Linked DNA regions of Tamandua tetradactyla. The protein of the gene in region 2 purifies or fractionates together with the protein of the main gene of each other region. This does not show direct contact. Links are inferred from orthologs where the notes say so. Each region holds a gene or a part of one and is shown on either strand. Other genes may lie near its edges.

Region 1 (8,082 bases), on a different chromosome or scaffold from region 2:
AAAACTCAAAGCGGAGATGTGCAGTCCTCCATTCAGCAGACATGTCCCAGGCCTCTGCAGTGTGTAAGGCTGGCATCTGTGAGACCGCTGCAGAAGTGGACACGGGCTGCACATTCCAGGCTAATACGTGCAGGAGGCTCCTTGGTTAGCCAGGTTGGACACCCAGAAGACACCCAATTCCATCGTGTCTTTCTCCCTGCCCACTCCCTCTCCAGGAAGGCCACGCTGGCTGACATTGTGGAACAGCTGCAGGAGAAAGAGGCGGGTCCAGGGCTCCCTGTTGGGGTAAGTTGGGTCTTGGGATAGGTGAGGGCACAGGGGCCTTCTCAGGGCAGGGGTCAGTGCCCCACATGGACCCTGCTGAGACACCACAGACTCCAAAGGATAGTGAAGGCCCTTAGAAGCCCCCCACAATCTGACTTCTCCCTTAGAAAGATGCCCTCCTTCCCTGCCTGACCTGAGATGCAGAGACACTCTCCCAGACCTGAACAAACAGGCTCACCAGACTTTTCTTACAACTATGCTGGACTCCGTATTTCTCCACAGCCCAGTGGGGTCCCAAACTTCCTAACAGACAAATGGGCCGGGTAGCGGTGTGGGGAGTCCTGACATTCCCTCCTCCCACCTACACACACAGAAGGAAACCCCAGATTCCTGCTAAACACAGCTCCCATAGATCAGCCTCCTCCAGACAGGCGCTCCTCCCGGTGCACCTTATCTTCCCGATAAAGGGGGATTCCAACTCTATGAATCCTGACAGACTCACTCCCGAGACGAGTGGGGCCCCGAGGATTTGGCCTTCTAGCCCTGAGGTCCCCCCAGGCTCCCCTCCAAGACAGACGAACCGCAGATAGAGGGGATCCGCGGGCTCATGAACCTCCCTTGGACAGCACGCCTTTCCCCCTCCTTTCACACAGCCGTCGCTGCCTCAGCCTCGCGAGCTTCCCCCCGGCCGCCTGCCCAACGGGCTTGAGCCGCCCGAGCGGACACCTCGGCCGGACAGGCCGCGGGCGCGGGACCGGCCCAAACCGCGACGGCGGCCACGGCCGCGAGAGGGTGGTGAGGGCGGGGGAAGCCGGCGCTCGCGCTCGGCCCCGGCCCAGGGAGGCTCCGCCCCTGCGCCACCGCCCCCACCCACTCACACCGTGCAGCACGAGGGCTTCCTGCTGCGCAAGCGCGAACTCGACGCCAATCGCAAATCGTCCAACCGGTGAGCGGGCTGGGCGGGGCTTTGTAAGGCGGGACCAAGGGCAGGCCGAGTAGGTCGGCCTGAGGAGGGGCGGGGTCCAGCTTCCGGCCGTCCAACCGGTGGGGAGGTGGGCGGGGCTGAGGAGGGACGGGGCTCAACTTCAAGGAATTCGCTAAGGCGGAGTAGTGGGCCTAAATTTAGCGCACCCAATGGGAGAGTTGCACCTGAGCAAAAGGTTCCGGTCGTGGATAAATTGTGGCCCAATCTCAAAAACAACCAGCCCTGGAGTTGGCTAGGCTAAGTGACAAAATGGGGGTGAGGCCTAGCCAGCAGGTTCCAATGGCATGTGAGGTGGAGCCTGGAGAGGTTATCCCACCAGCGAGTGGGGTGGCTCCAGCCCTGAAGTTTCTAATTAGGGGAAGATCTGAAAAAAGGCGGGGCGTCCAATAGGTGAGCTGGATGAGAGGCAAATGGAGGGCTCCACCTCGGGCCCACGGTATAACAGTATAACAGTGTACCTTTGGAGTCCAGCTCCTTGTCCTCTAACCCCCTTTTGTCCAACTGGGAGACAGCTGGACAAGAGAAGTGGGTCCAAAAAAGGGAAGCCCTGGCCACCTAGTGGAGTGGGATTTAGAGGCAAGATGCCAAGTGGGCAAGACTGCTTGAGATTTTGCTGGCGGGAACTGGGGGTAGTCTTTCCTCCTTGTCCCTGAGCCAAGGAGGGGATAAATAGGGCCACCTCAGTGTAATTTGCTCTTGGGGGATTTCCTCTTGGGTTGGGGATGGGGGTGGGTGGGGAGACAGAAATGCCTCTTTCTGTATAGCAGACTAATAGGTCTTCCTTCATGGAACTCTGGGGGTGGAGGAGGAGTATTATAATAAGGTTGTTTTGGGGCCAGGGAACTGGCCTGAGTAAACTTTTAGGAGGAGAAGGCTTAAATCTTGCCCTCAGGAAATTCAGTATGAGAGGGAGGGCCAGCCAGGGCCAGTCGCTCCTCTCAGCTCTAGGAACAGCCAAAAGGAAAAGCACCCCGACATAGGGCTCAGCTTTGGCATGTTCAGCCCAGGAAGGGTGTTAGTGAAGCACACTCAGGCAGTGCTGGAGCTCTGCCTTGAGCCCTGTCTCATTGCCCCAGGTCATGGGTGAGCCTGTACTGCGTGCTCAGCAAGGGGGAGCTGGGCTTCTACAAGGACTCCAAGGGCCCGGCATCGGGGGGCACACATGGCGGGGAGCCACTGCTCAGTCTGCACAAGGCCACCAGTGAGGTGGCCAGTGACTACAAGAAAAAGAAGCATGTCTTCAAGCTCCAGTGAGCCCCCCCCCCAATGGACAGGGGATGGGAGGGCATCCGAGGCCCAGCTTCCCCCTTCCAGTAGTATCCTGGGTCTCCTGTAGGATGGGTGGTGGGTGAGTAGTCCGTGCCCCTGCCCCAGGTCCCCCAATTCCTGTGTCCCCTACTGCAGGACCCAGGATGGCAGCGAGTTTTTGCTCCAGGCTAAAGACGAGGTGAGATCTGGACCTTTCCCTCCCCTATGTGGGCTTCAGGAATGACCTAGCTGGCTCCTGGGCCAAGTGATGGGACTGTGATAGGAGAAGCACAAGCCAGAGCTACAAGAGCTGCGATGGGGAAGCCCATGGGCTATGAAATGGGTTAGAGGAGGTTCCTGACCCAGCCTGGGGTGGGAGGGGGTTGGGGGTAGGAAAGAAGATGGGAGACGGGGAAGACTGCCTGGAGGCCCTCAGTCCAACGCCTTCCCTTGGCCCCAAGATGCAACTAGAAAGACAAGAGGAGTCAGCTAAAAAGGAGTTGCAGGGGTGAGCCAGGCAGAAAGACCTGCAAGTGCAAAGGACCAGAGGTATGGAATTACAAAAGTTTAACTGTGCTGGAGGACAGAGTTCAAGAAGGAAGGCTCCAGAAACATTCTTATAGGGTGGCCAGATCTCGCAAGATGTTGTTGCCATTTGGAGGTTGGACTTGTCCCGGAAGCACTGGAGAGCCACGGCAGGGCTTTGAGCCAAGGAGGGCTACAGTAATGCATAAGAAAAGGTCTCTCTGGCTGCTACTTGCAGGGAAGGTAGGAGGAGGCGAGGGTGGAGGTCAGGAGCCCAGGATGCAGCCAGCATAGGGTCCCAAGTGGAAGAGGAGACAGCTGGATGGGACAGGCCTGTGGGGAGGGGAGAGGGTAGCACAAGAAACAAGAATCTGAGTGGATCTCCGCAGGAGTTCAGAATTCCTGGGGGTGTGTGTGTGTGAAGGAACAGGCATAGATCTGGCTTGAAGAGATGATGTGAACAGAAACATTTATCACATTCAGTCCTCACAGGAGGCTATGAAGCAGGCCTTATTTTACTTATCTGTACAATGCAGATAAAAAATAATTCCTCATTATAGGGTCATTGTGAGAATTAAATGAATGGATACATGTAGACCACTTGGCACATGCCTAGTAAATCTAAGTGTTGTCTGCCACTGTATCACCTTGGGTTTTCTGTTATCTCCATATGGGAATTATTATAATAATACCTGTTGCAGGTATTTAGGATTAAGCAATTTAATCCACCAAGTACTTAGAAAAGAGCTTTGCATATATATGGTGACTGCTCTGTAATTGCATTATTATCATCATCCCATTTAACAGATGAGAAAACAGGTTCAGAGAGAGCAGTCTGATTCCAGACTTATCTACTACTGGAGCTCCTCTCCTCCCAATATCGACCCAGTTATCCATTTCTCCCCCTAGGAGGAGATGAATGGCTGGCTGGACGCAGTGGCCACATCGGTGGCCGAACATGCCGAGATTGCGCGCTGGGGCCAGACACTACCCACCACGTCCTCCACAGACGAGGGCAACCCCAGGCGAGAGGCTGGGGAACGCAGGGCCAGCGGGCGCCGAAAGTGACTCCCCAGCCCCGGGGCCTGATGTGTCTCCCTCCCTCTCCTCTCTGCATCGTGGGCACAAAGACTCTTTCTCTTGCGCCTGGGTCTGGAACCCCTAGTTCCAACACTGCGGATGTGGATGCGGCATGACGGGCGCTGGCAAGGAGGGGACTTATCCTGCCCCTATAGCCATATCTCGGCCCCTTCCCGCTCGCCACCCCCACCCCAGGTGCTGGGGCTCTATTATTTTTATGCAATAACTGAGCTTGGGGGGGGGGCGGGGAGGGGGGCCAGTTGAGCCAAGCCCCCTGCCCCGACCCCCAGATCTTGCCTCAAGGAGCTGGAGTTGGGGGGCAGTCATTCCTGCCCCCCCCTCTGCCCTAGGGGTGGGAACGGGGGGGGGCGCTGGTGAGGTCCCCTGGACCGTCCAGGGTGCTAGGGGGTGGGGAGGGGGCACCCCCTCCCCACCTTTACCTCACTTCCAAAGCTGCCTTGATCTTTGTCTGGGAGGGGGGAGTGAAGGGGGCCCTAGCTCCTGCACTCTGCTGCCTCAGAGCCATGCGGTTAATTCCTTATTTTTTTTTGCAAAACGTCGACCTCCTCCTCTCCCACCCCGTATCCTGAAGGCTTTAAATGGGAGGGGTGTCAAAGCTCAAAACTGTCTTCCTCTCTCCTCCCCCCTCCAGCTCTAAATGCCCCATCATGAGGGGAGGGGCGAGGGGGGGCTCTCCCCCTGCATGCTTCTGGCTGGAGCACCTCCTGGGGGGCGGGGGGGGGGACCAGGGTCGTGAGTAAACCGCATGGCCCCCAGGAGAAGTCACTGGGGCGCGGGGGTGTGGGGCGGTGTGGCTGGCGCACACTGTACCTATAATAAACCCTTTGGCTTTGACGGTCTCTGCTGGTTTGTCCGCGTTTCCTGGGCAACAGGGGAGGAATGGGGCGAGGGCTGTGGGAGGGACCGTGATGCTATGTCTCCCGTGATAAGGATTAATTTCAGGGTCTCCGACGGATCACCTAAATGCTATACCTAAAACGGGGACCCTGGGAGGGGAAGAGAGAATGTTTTGTTATTCTTCAGCAACTGAACTTCCCTCAGGAAGCCGCCCTGCCCGCCCCGTCCAGGCCAGGAAAGGCGGGCCCCTTTAAGGAGGCTGAGCTATTAGCTGCGATTAAGTTACGTCCTGCCCAATCACCGCGCCTCCGGGAGCCACCGGCCCAATGTACACGCGGAGGGGGCGGAGTCCGGACGCACACCCGGAAGCGGGCGTAGGCCGGCCGGCTCGTCCGGGGGCCATGGCAGCAGCAAGTACTGCTGCTGAGGGGGCCCCGCGTCGGGCATCTCTCGGAGAGGTGATTCATTTGAACGTGGGAGGCAAGAGGTGAGTGTGTGTGTGTGTGGGGGGTCGTCCTGAAGCCCCACCTCGAGGGCGGGGGGGCGGGGTGGGAGTGCCCGCCTCTCCAGGGGGGAATCCCTGTCCATCAATGATTGCTCCGCCCCACTGCTGGAGGCGCGAGAGGCTGGAAAAGCTTCCGGGAAGCGGCGGGAAGCTTCCCCTATCCTAGGGGAGGGGGCCCTGCATCTCTGCTCCTCCCACTGTCATCTCACGCGGCCGCTCACTCTCCCACCTCCCCACTCCCGTTCCCAGATTCAGTACCTCCCGCCAGACCCTCACCTGGATCCCAGACTCCTTCTTCTCCAGGTGATGGGGAGAGCGAGTTTGGGAGGAGTTGGGGGGAAGCGAAGGAAGGGGGTGGGGAGACCTAACACCCCTCCCCGCTCCAGCCCATGACACCTGCTCTGCGTCCCCTCCCTGCAGTCTTCTGAGCGGGCGCATCTCCACTCTAAAAGATGAGACTGGAGCGGTGAGTCGAATAAGGGATGGAATGGGACAGTCGGTAAGGAAGCGGGGCAGGACCCCCGACTCAGCCCTGCTCGTTGCCTCGCCCATCAGCTGCCTCCTCTCCCGCAGATCTTTATCGACAGGGACCCCACCGTCTTTGCCCCCATCCTCAACTTCCTGCGCACCAAAGAGTTGGACCCGAGGTTAGCATGGAGGGGAAGGGGAAGGGGTACCCTACTGTCTCCATTTCCTAAAAAGTCTTTTCTCTTCCTCAGAATTTTCACTTAAGTTTGACCCTAGTAGAATTCTCGTTTAGAACCTCAGTGATCTTGACATTGTATTTCCCACAACACCAACCCCACATTTTTGGTGCTCATATCTTCTCGGCTTAGAATCTCTATCCTGTCAGAATTCTCTGCTCCTAGGGATTCTCTGCGCAGTTTTGAAAACTTCCTTCTCAGCATTCTCTGCTTGCCCCCACTCCCACCCTCCTCATCCCCCAGACTTTGACACTTAGTCAATTCTACTACCCAGGGGTGTCCACGGTTCCAGCCTCCTCCATGAAGCCCAGTTCTATGGGCTCACTCCTCTGGGTAAGTAAGGCCCCAACTAGCATCCTCATCCACACCGAAAGGCAGCCAGCGATTCTCTCTAAATCCTCCCGGGCCCTCTTCCCACTCCCTTGTCATAGAGGGTTGGGTTAGAGCTGATCGCACTGGATTAGGCCCCGAGTCTGAGTGGAATGATGGAGGAAGAGTTGGGAATGGGGAAAGGGGTGTGCCTCAGTACCCCTCAAGTTGTTCCCTCTCAGTTCGCCGCCTGCAGCTGCGGGAGGAGCTGGATCGATCTTCCTGTGGAAACGTCCTCTTCAACGGTTACCTGCCCCCACCAGGTGGGCATGCCTAAGGATGGGGGTGTGTGGATTAAAGACTACATTTCCCATAAGGTCTCAGCCCTTGAATGGCTGTGCTGTGAGCCCTGTGACCTGATGGGAATTGTAGTTTTGATAGGGTTGGCTGCTTGGAGAGGAAATAGGAAATTGCATTTTCCATGAGGCAGGGGGCCAGCTAGTCCTTCCTGAGGCTCAGAAGCAGGCCCAGGGGCCCGATGGGAGTTATAGTCCAGGTGTGATTTCTTGGTGGGCTGGCTTAGGAGGAACTGGGGTCCTTCGTATGGAGGAGAGAAAAAGTAAAGGGTCATTATTGACTATAAACCCCACGAGATCCTGGAGCAGCCAGCCCACTGATCGTGGAAAATATGGCCCAGGGGTTATTGGGAACTGTAGTCCACTGGGCTCTGTTGCTTTGTAGAAGGAACAGAGTGGGGCAATTGCAACTTACAGCTTTCTTTTATCAACCTCAGTCATGACCTACTACCTTCATGAAATTTGCCAAATATAAAGACCTAGAGTATTATTTCTTAATTTAGTTTTACTTGCTTTTTTTTAAAGGTGTTTTAAATGGAAACTTTGTATCACTACCTATCTACCATAAATATAAAGTAAATATGAAAATAAAAACTACACATGACAGTGTTAATAAACTCTGCCTTAGCCTGGGGGTTGCTGTCCATTGACTAAAAGGGAAGATTAGCAGATATTGAAGAGGCATTAATATCACAGCAACACTACACAGAGTCTTCCTATGTGAGCAGTGCTGAGTACCACATCCATCCTGTCTAAAGCCTTTTCTCCAGGGACTGGGCTGCACACCTGGGGAAATCAGCATCTGACATATTCTGAGTGCTTGCTATGTGGTAGCATTAATGACAATGGCTGTCACTCTGCCTCTTCTCCCCCTGCCCCCGTTAGTGTTCCCGGTGAAGCGGCGAAACCGGCACAGCCTGGTGGGGCCCCAGCAGGCGGGAGGACGCCCAGCCCCTGTTCGACGGAGCAACACGATGCCCCCCAACCTGGGCAACGCAGGGCTGCTAGGCCGCATGTTAGAGGAGAAAGCCCCCCCTGCCCCCTCAGGTATGTTTCTGTCTGTGGCCACCGGCGGGTCCCTGTGGCCCTATACCCTGATCCCTACACTCCCCCCACCCCAGGGCTGCCGGAGGAGCCCGGCATGGTGCGCCTGGTGTGTGGACACCACAACTGGATCGCTGTGGCCTACACCCAGTTTCTTGTCTGCTACAGGTGCTCAGGGACGAGGGGGGGGTTGGGGGTGGCAGG
Region 2 (7,212 bases):
GGCTAAAAGGGCTAGAATTGGTGTTTTAAACAGCTTAGTCAGTGGTGAAAATACGCTACCAGATAAGGGCCATAAAATATGTGAAATCTGAGGAAGACTTGAGCAAACACAAAGGAAGGGACCATGAACCATGGAGCAGATGATGATGAGCTTCAAGTCAAGAGTTTGATATTGGGGAGATTTCCAGAAAAGCCAGGGAGGAAAGTACATTCCAGGAACCATTTGCTGCATATACAGAGGGAGGGTAACTGAAACAGCCTCAGTGTGTTTAGAAATGACAAGGAGTTGGGTGTGGCTGTAATGTAGGAGAGTGGCAAGTTGCTAAAGCTAGGGAGGTGGAACTGGGACAGGTACAGATTGTCTTACATACTGTGCCAGGAGTTTAGCTTACAGGAAACCAAGATCATGCCCTGGATCTCATTGGGTTAGCTTTGTGGAGGACACCTCTGGAAGTAGCATGATGGAAGGACTGAAGACTTCTCTCACAAAATCCCCTCCCAGGATCTTAGCACCGATCACAACAGGACATGTCCAAATTTTCCTGTTCCTTTTTCTTCCCAGCAGCATCAGCAGAGATCCTGGTTGCCTATCCCAATATCCATTTCCTGTCTCTTGCATAATGATAGAATTCCCAGCTATTAGCAGAGCACAAAACCCCTTGGAATATATTGTCCAGTCTCCTTCATAGCTTGAACTAAGTTCCAGCTGTGAAATGTAAATGGAAGTTGGTGGCAGTTTTCTGAAATCATAAAAAACAGCTTGAGCATGCCTTCACTCTCTTTCTTCTTTCATCCCTTCCTCCCTCCTGTTGGAAACAAATGCTGATGTTTTGGTTGGAACCTGAGTCATCAACTTGGACAAACAAGACGGTGGAGAAAGAAAAGCAAGCCTGGGACCCCAGTGATTGTGGCGCTGCCATAACAGCCTTGACTTCTGACCTCTGAACTGTTTAAATAATAAAGAAATGACCTGTTATATTTAGGTTGGTATCATTTTGAGTTTTCTGTCACTTGTAGCCAAAAAGGAAAGGAAGCAGGCTTTTTTTTTAGGAGAGTTGTTATTTTCTATTTTTCCTTTTATTTTGCATGTATTTTCATCCCTCAGTGTTTCTGCCTTTGGGAAGTAACAGTTCATTTCTATGCAGTTCAGAGAACAGAGCTCTCCCGTGAAGCAGTTAACTCAGGTGCACCTGGAGAAGTTTACCAGCTGTCTCCTCCCACTGCATTCTCACATTCTCAGTCCAACTGGTTTTAAGTGTCTCCTTTGTGATATCATATTGGTTTCATAAGGGCTGCCTTAATTGCCTTTAAGAGCAAAGTTTAGACAGAATTGGCTTGAGAATTACATTTATCCCTTCATTCATTCATTCACTATTTATTAAGCATTTACTATGTGCCAGGCACTGCAATAACTATGTTCCCAATAAGTAAAGGAATGGCTCTGTTGGGTTCCGTGCAGGCCAGCCCATTTGAGGAACAACACATTCCATTGGAGAGAAAAGGTCATGTTTGAGAGGGATCTTGACAAACTTGAGCATAGCCACAGAAAACTAGGATGGTAGAAGTCTGGGTTCCTCCTTAATTCCACTTAAAAATAATAATAATAAGGCATAAAGGTAAGGGGAATTCAGCCTATGACAGATGCCCTATTTTTGGTCTAACCAGAATCCTGTGCCTCCTTATTCTGGAAACACATTCTCCTGCTTGAGGGAGGACCTGCTCCTTCCCATTCCTTGTAATTCTGGTGGGGATCTCAAGTGCAATACTCTCGCATCCAGGTGCAGGAACAGATGCATGACCCAAGCTAAACCAAGTGCAGCCCTTTTGTCTTTTTCCCCTTAGATTGTGAGTTAAAAGATGTGATTGCAGAGATGGTGCTACTTGTAATCCCCATCTATGTGGAAGAGCTTAAACAATGAAGCAAACACAAGCAGAGGCCAGCTGAGAGTAGGAAGTGCTTGGGTTAATTAGTCATGGGAATAGCTCTGTAATTGGCTTACGGGAAGCAATAAAGGTACTTTTTTTTATTTACCTGGTTTGGAATGGGTTTTCGGCCACTTGCAGAAGAATCTTGAAAAATGTATGCCATGTTCCCATATGCTAAAATCTACCTTGCAAAGGAGGAGAATTAGTCATTCATATAGGTCCAAAAAGCTAAACCTGGATCCAAGAGCTGAAGTTTCCAGGAGGCAGACTCAGGCTCAATAGGAGTTCTTTCTAACAATCGAAATGTTGTTAAAATAACCTAAGAAAAAGATGATTGGCACATGGGCAGGTCATTGGAACAAGTCACGTTTTTACTCCTCTAAAGCTCAATAAGCTTACTGTTAGAAAGGGGAAGGAAGTCAACCCTATTTCCTATAGTCTATTGGATAAATTTTATTATTTTGTCACTAAGAAAATAAAGGAAGAGGAGGAAATACACTCAAATAAATGGATTTAAAGTGACAATTAAAAGTTTACTACTGGGTGGGTCACGGTGGCTCAGTGGCAGAGTTCTCACCTGCCATGCAGGAGACCCAGGTTCATCTCCCGGTGCCTGCCCGAGCAAAATAAAAAATAAAAAAGTTCACTACTGCATCTATCCATCTACCCATCCCTCCACTCAACAAACATCTATTGAATTTTTACTCTTTGCTGGGTTTTGTACTAAGTACTGTGTGTAACCATGAATTGGGTCCCATTTTTAACCTCTAAGAATACTGAGGTCTTCAGAGGGAGGCAGATAAACAGTCAAGACAATAATTCACAGAGTAAGAGGTGCTGGGACAAAAGTATGTGACTTACTCAATGACTCAATAAAGGAAGTAGGAAGGACAGTGGGGATGGGGATATGTTAGAAATAGCTCTGGAGTAGAGGTGATACTTGAGCTGGATAATAAAGACGTGCTGGCCATGCAAAAGGCAGATGGGGTGGGGGTGGAAGATGAGGGCAAAGGGCACCAAGACATGAACGATTGTTGGCCTTCAACGCACGGTAAGTGGTAAGTGTTGCTAAAATGGGAAAGAGTGAGGTCAGGGATTCAACAGTACTCCATGTAACTAGATGAGGGAGCAGGGTCTTCTGAAGAATTGTGATCAGAAGACTCTAACCTCAATTTAAGTTTTAGAAAAATCATGCTAACAATAGTAGAGGTTGGATTTGGAGAGGACACGTTCTTAAGCATCACAATCGGATCTCTGTTTTTCATCAGATATATCTAATGTTTAAATATCTTGATGAACACCAAAGAGTTCAAAGACTCAGAGTCAGAAGAACAAAAGTCCACGCTCTCCCACCCTGGCCATGAAGTTTGGTTCTGAGGCCTTTAGAGAGTCACTTAACCACTTTGAGCCTCAGTTCCCTCATCTGTAAAATGGGGATAATAACCCAACACAAAAGGTTATTATGAAGATAGAATGAAATAAATTACACTAAAGCACCTTGTAAACTTCACAGAGACATACAAATACACAGATCTGTTGTTTTGTCCTGTACAAAGACTGGTTTTTGTCCTAGTGTTATTATAGCCAGATAAAATTTACAATAGTTGCTTAATGTCCATGAATTATAACCAGGGTAGAGCATTTGGAGGTGACAAGGTTTTTTTGACAAGACAAGGTGGGCTGAGAACTGGATGGAGAGGGCTGGACCTGGGAGTTCAAACAGACCCAGGTGACAGAGGATCACTGATTTCTAGGGAGAGGTTAGACATTTGAGTCCAAACCAGAAGTCCAGTCCAAAATAGAAGGGAGAGGCAGGAAGTGAATTCCACAAGCCAAAGTTCAAACTAAGTCCAAGCTCCAGGTTCCCATCTATTCAGGAGAAAGAAGTGATCAGTAGAGGTCCAAGAGGAAACTATAAGAAGAGATCTTAGCCACTGAGTTAGGTGGTATGAAAAGAGTTTAACAGCTAATAACAAGGACCTTCTTCTGCAAACACTTGTGTTTGTTCATTCAACAAACATACATTGAGTACCTTTTAAGCTCCAGGAATACAAAGTTGAATAAGTTAAGCAACTTGTAATCCAATGAGGAAGCCAGACATGCAAGCAATAATTCTAATACAGCCTGGAAAGAGGAGCAACGTCAGGAAACACATCAGGAAAGAGTTTTTGTTTTCAGAGCACAGAGGAAGGCCACTGATCTGGCTACACCATGTTGGGGACATTTCTGGAAGGGGTGATTAGGAGTTCACCAGGTGAGCCAGATACAGTCAGGGATGAAGGTATTTCAGGCAGCAAGGACAGTGTGAACAACAGCAGGGAAACAAGAATAGGATATACAAGCAGGTATAAATTGTCGTGGTATAAACCAGGAACAGGAGTTGGGTGGGACGTCTATAGGTAATAGGAGAGGAAGCTAGAGAAGCTGGCAAGAGAGCTGCCTGTGCTAGTCCAGGAAAGCTGGGACTTCATCCTGAAGGCAACAGGAGCCATGGAAACACTTACACAGGTGAGTAATAGGACAGGAAGTGGATTGCTGAGAGTTGCTATGACAGAGGAAACAAAGCAAGGGACCTGGACACTGAGAACATGGGGACCAAGAAGATATGGAGAAACAAGGCAAGAAGCCCTACAGGACTGGGGTTCTGCAGTTAGAACAACTCTAGCTTCCCGATGGATCTGGATACCGAGCCCTTCAGCTGACGGTCAGTAGTTCTAACGTGGAGGACTTGAATGAGCTGAGGCAGGCAGCTGTCCCCTGAGACTAGAGCCAAAGGAGGGAATATATCTGAGCCTGCACTAGTCAAAAATTATTTCACTAGACAGACATAGTTTCTACCTGCCCTAATTTAATTTGTTTTATTACTTCAATTAACTTTTTCTTTTTTTTACCTACTGGATGCTGGGCTTTGGTTTGGCATTTTATATACATAGATAGATAGATTTTTTAATACTTAATTTTTGCAACCACACTGAGTTCTATTTACAAAGAAAGGGAGGTTAAGTCTTCCAAACCGATGAGCTTTGTCCAGGAATAGAACCATGTTGTGTCTAGTTACAAAGGCCACCATGAAACAGTTGTGCTGAGAGGAACTTTCATTCTGCATAAGAAAAAATGGGAAAGGGAAAACTATAATGGCAGGCAGCAAGAGTTTATGTCAGAAACCATAAATTTCTGGTGGTCTCAATCAGCAAGGTTGGGTACAGGATTCAGCAGCCAGATTCAGGCACAAAGACGGCCAAGAATGGGAATGAACCCATGTCGGGCTTTTGCTAAGTCCCCTACAGAGGAATCACACAAGCTGAAAATAATGGCGAGAGAGTAATTGAAGTGAGAGAACTTGGGGTTTAGCTAGCTAGAAAAAGGAGTCACGACGGGGGCATTATTTTGTGGTGTGCTGAAGGTATGGATGTGCACCATGTCAGAAGGTCTGGGTAGTGCCGTGTGTGCTTTGTGACTGGTGTGTGCTGTCACACTTGTCAGTGTGTGTGTCAGTGTACTGGGTAGTGTACAGACTGTGTGGTACATGGTGGAAAGGTGCAGTATGTAGTGTGTGAGTGCTGCAGGGCATGTATTTGTGTGTGAGGTGTGAGGAGCGTATGGAGAGTCTGTGTGCTTGTGCGCTGTTTGTTTGTGTTTGTGTGTGGTTTATCTTTGCAGGGAATGGGGCATGGTGATGATGTCCCTAGATGGGAGATGGTGGCATCTGCTTGGGACTGTGTATGCATAAGTGTGTAGTTTGGAGTGTGTGTAGAGGATACAGTAAATCATGTGTGTCTTTCTATGTGAGAGTGTGTGATGTTTGTGTAGAAGCGAGAGATGTGTAGCTGAGCAACTAAGAATGAACTTTATAACGCTGATACACAATGACTTGAATTGGGGAAAAATGTTTTAGGTTTGGTTTTTTTTTCACTCTTGTTTTTTTATGTTGTGCTTTGTTTAACCATAAATAATTTCTCTCCAGGAGAAGAGACTCTGCCTCACCTACCTAATCCCTTTATTCTGGGAGGTGAGGCCTGTTTGTTGTGTAGCTGTTGGTCAGACACCCACTCACTCTTCTCCTTGGGGGTGAGCGGTGGTCCAAATGAAAATGTTGGGACTGAAATGGTAAATATTGTCAGGTAAAGGCGTTTGGATGTACCTCTAAAAGTTAAACATAGACTATCATATATATGATCCAGCAATTCCACTCCTAGGTATTTATCCCAAAGAACTAAAAACCGGCACTCAAACAAATTCATGTACACACATGTTCATAGAAGCACTATTCATGATAGCCAAAAGACGGAAATAGCCCACATGTCCATCAAGAGAAGGATGGATCAACAAATGTGTTATATCCATATACAGTGGCTATTGTTCAGTTGTACAAAAGAATGAAGCGCAGATGCATGCTACAGCATGGATGACTCTAGAAAACGTTATGCTAAGGGAAAGAAGCCAGACACAAAATATCACCTATTGCCTTACTCCATTTATATGAAATATCCAGAAAAAGTAACTACCTTTTCAGAACAGGTAATTGCCTTAGCGACAGAATGCAGCCTGATGGTTGCCAGGAGGTGGGAGGAGAGGGGAGTGGAGAGAAACTGCTTAATGGACAAGGGGGTTAATTTTGGAGCGATGGAAATGTTTTGTAACTAGATAGAGCTGATGGTTGCACAGCATTGTGAGTGTACGAAATGTCACTGAATTGTTCACTTTAAAATGGTTAATTTCATGTCATGTAAATTTCACCCCAGTACAATTAAAAAAAAAAAAAAGAATATTTAGAAAAGATGGAAATCCTGCATCTCGGGCTAGGGGCTTCTCAGAGACTGAATTTAAATCATCAAAAATTTCCTCTAGGGTGCCCGGGTGGTTTAGTGATACAAATGCTCGCCTTTCATGCGGGTTCGATTCCTGGACCATGCACCTCCAAAAAAAAAAAAAAAAAATGTCCTCTGGTGATGCCAGAGAGAAGGTCGCTGGGAGTCCTACGACTCAAAGGCAAGAAGATAAAAGAGGAGAGAGCCCCAGGAGATATTGTGAAAGGGCATGGCCAGTGGGATTTAGGGACTCTGATGACAGGTCACTGATCATGTTTCTAATTACAAAGAAATTGTCATTTTAATTTCTTTGGGTTGGTCTCTCAGCTTTATAAGGTTTACGGAGTGCTAAGCCCAGAATCAGCGAGGCTCTGGAGAATGAAGAGCAGGCGAGTGCCCAGCCTTGGGGTGAGATCCCATGGGAAGAGGTCAGAAGCGAGCAGCAGAGCAATTAGAAATTGTGAGTAAGGTCTAAATTT

Evidence for each region.
Region 1: the proteins of PTPN3 (region 2) and SHKBP1 purify together in Homo sapiens (affinity purification with mass spectrometry; 4 studies listed by BioGRID and IntAct, with this or other methods). This does not show direct contact. The link is inferred for Tamandua tetradactyla from reciprocal best matches to the Homo sapiens genes PTPN3 and SHKBP1.

The regions. Positions count from the first base shown.
Region 1 is NC_135342.1:23,558,861-23,566,942, reverse strand, and holds the start of SHKBP1 (SH3KBP1-binding protein 1), read left to right. Parts: upstream 1-5,011; 5' UTR 5,012-5,286; coding exon 5,287-5,447; intron 5,448-5,714; coding exon 5,715-5,768; intron 5,769-5,885; coding exon 5,886-5,931; intron 5,932-6,038; coding exon 6,039-6,112; intron 6,113-6,443; coding exon 6,444-6,502; intron 6,503-6,720; coding exon 6,721-6,801; intron 6,802-7,719; coding exon 7,720-7,881; intron 7,882-7,955; coding exon 7,956-8,046; intron 8,047-8,082. Other genes in the region: SPTBN4 (spectrin beta chain, non-erythrocytic 4), read left to right, coding at 216-285, 918-1,210, 2,326-2,499, 2,654-2,696, 3,932-4,090.
Region 2 is NC_135328.1:28,458,165-28,465,376, reverse strand, and holds the start of PTPN3 (tyrosine-protein phosphatase non-receptor type 3), read left to right. Parts: upstream 1-4,157; 5' UTR 4,158-4,415; coding exon 4,416-4,629; intron 4,630-7,162; exon of another isoform or gene 7,163-7,193; intron 7,194-7,212.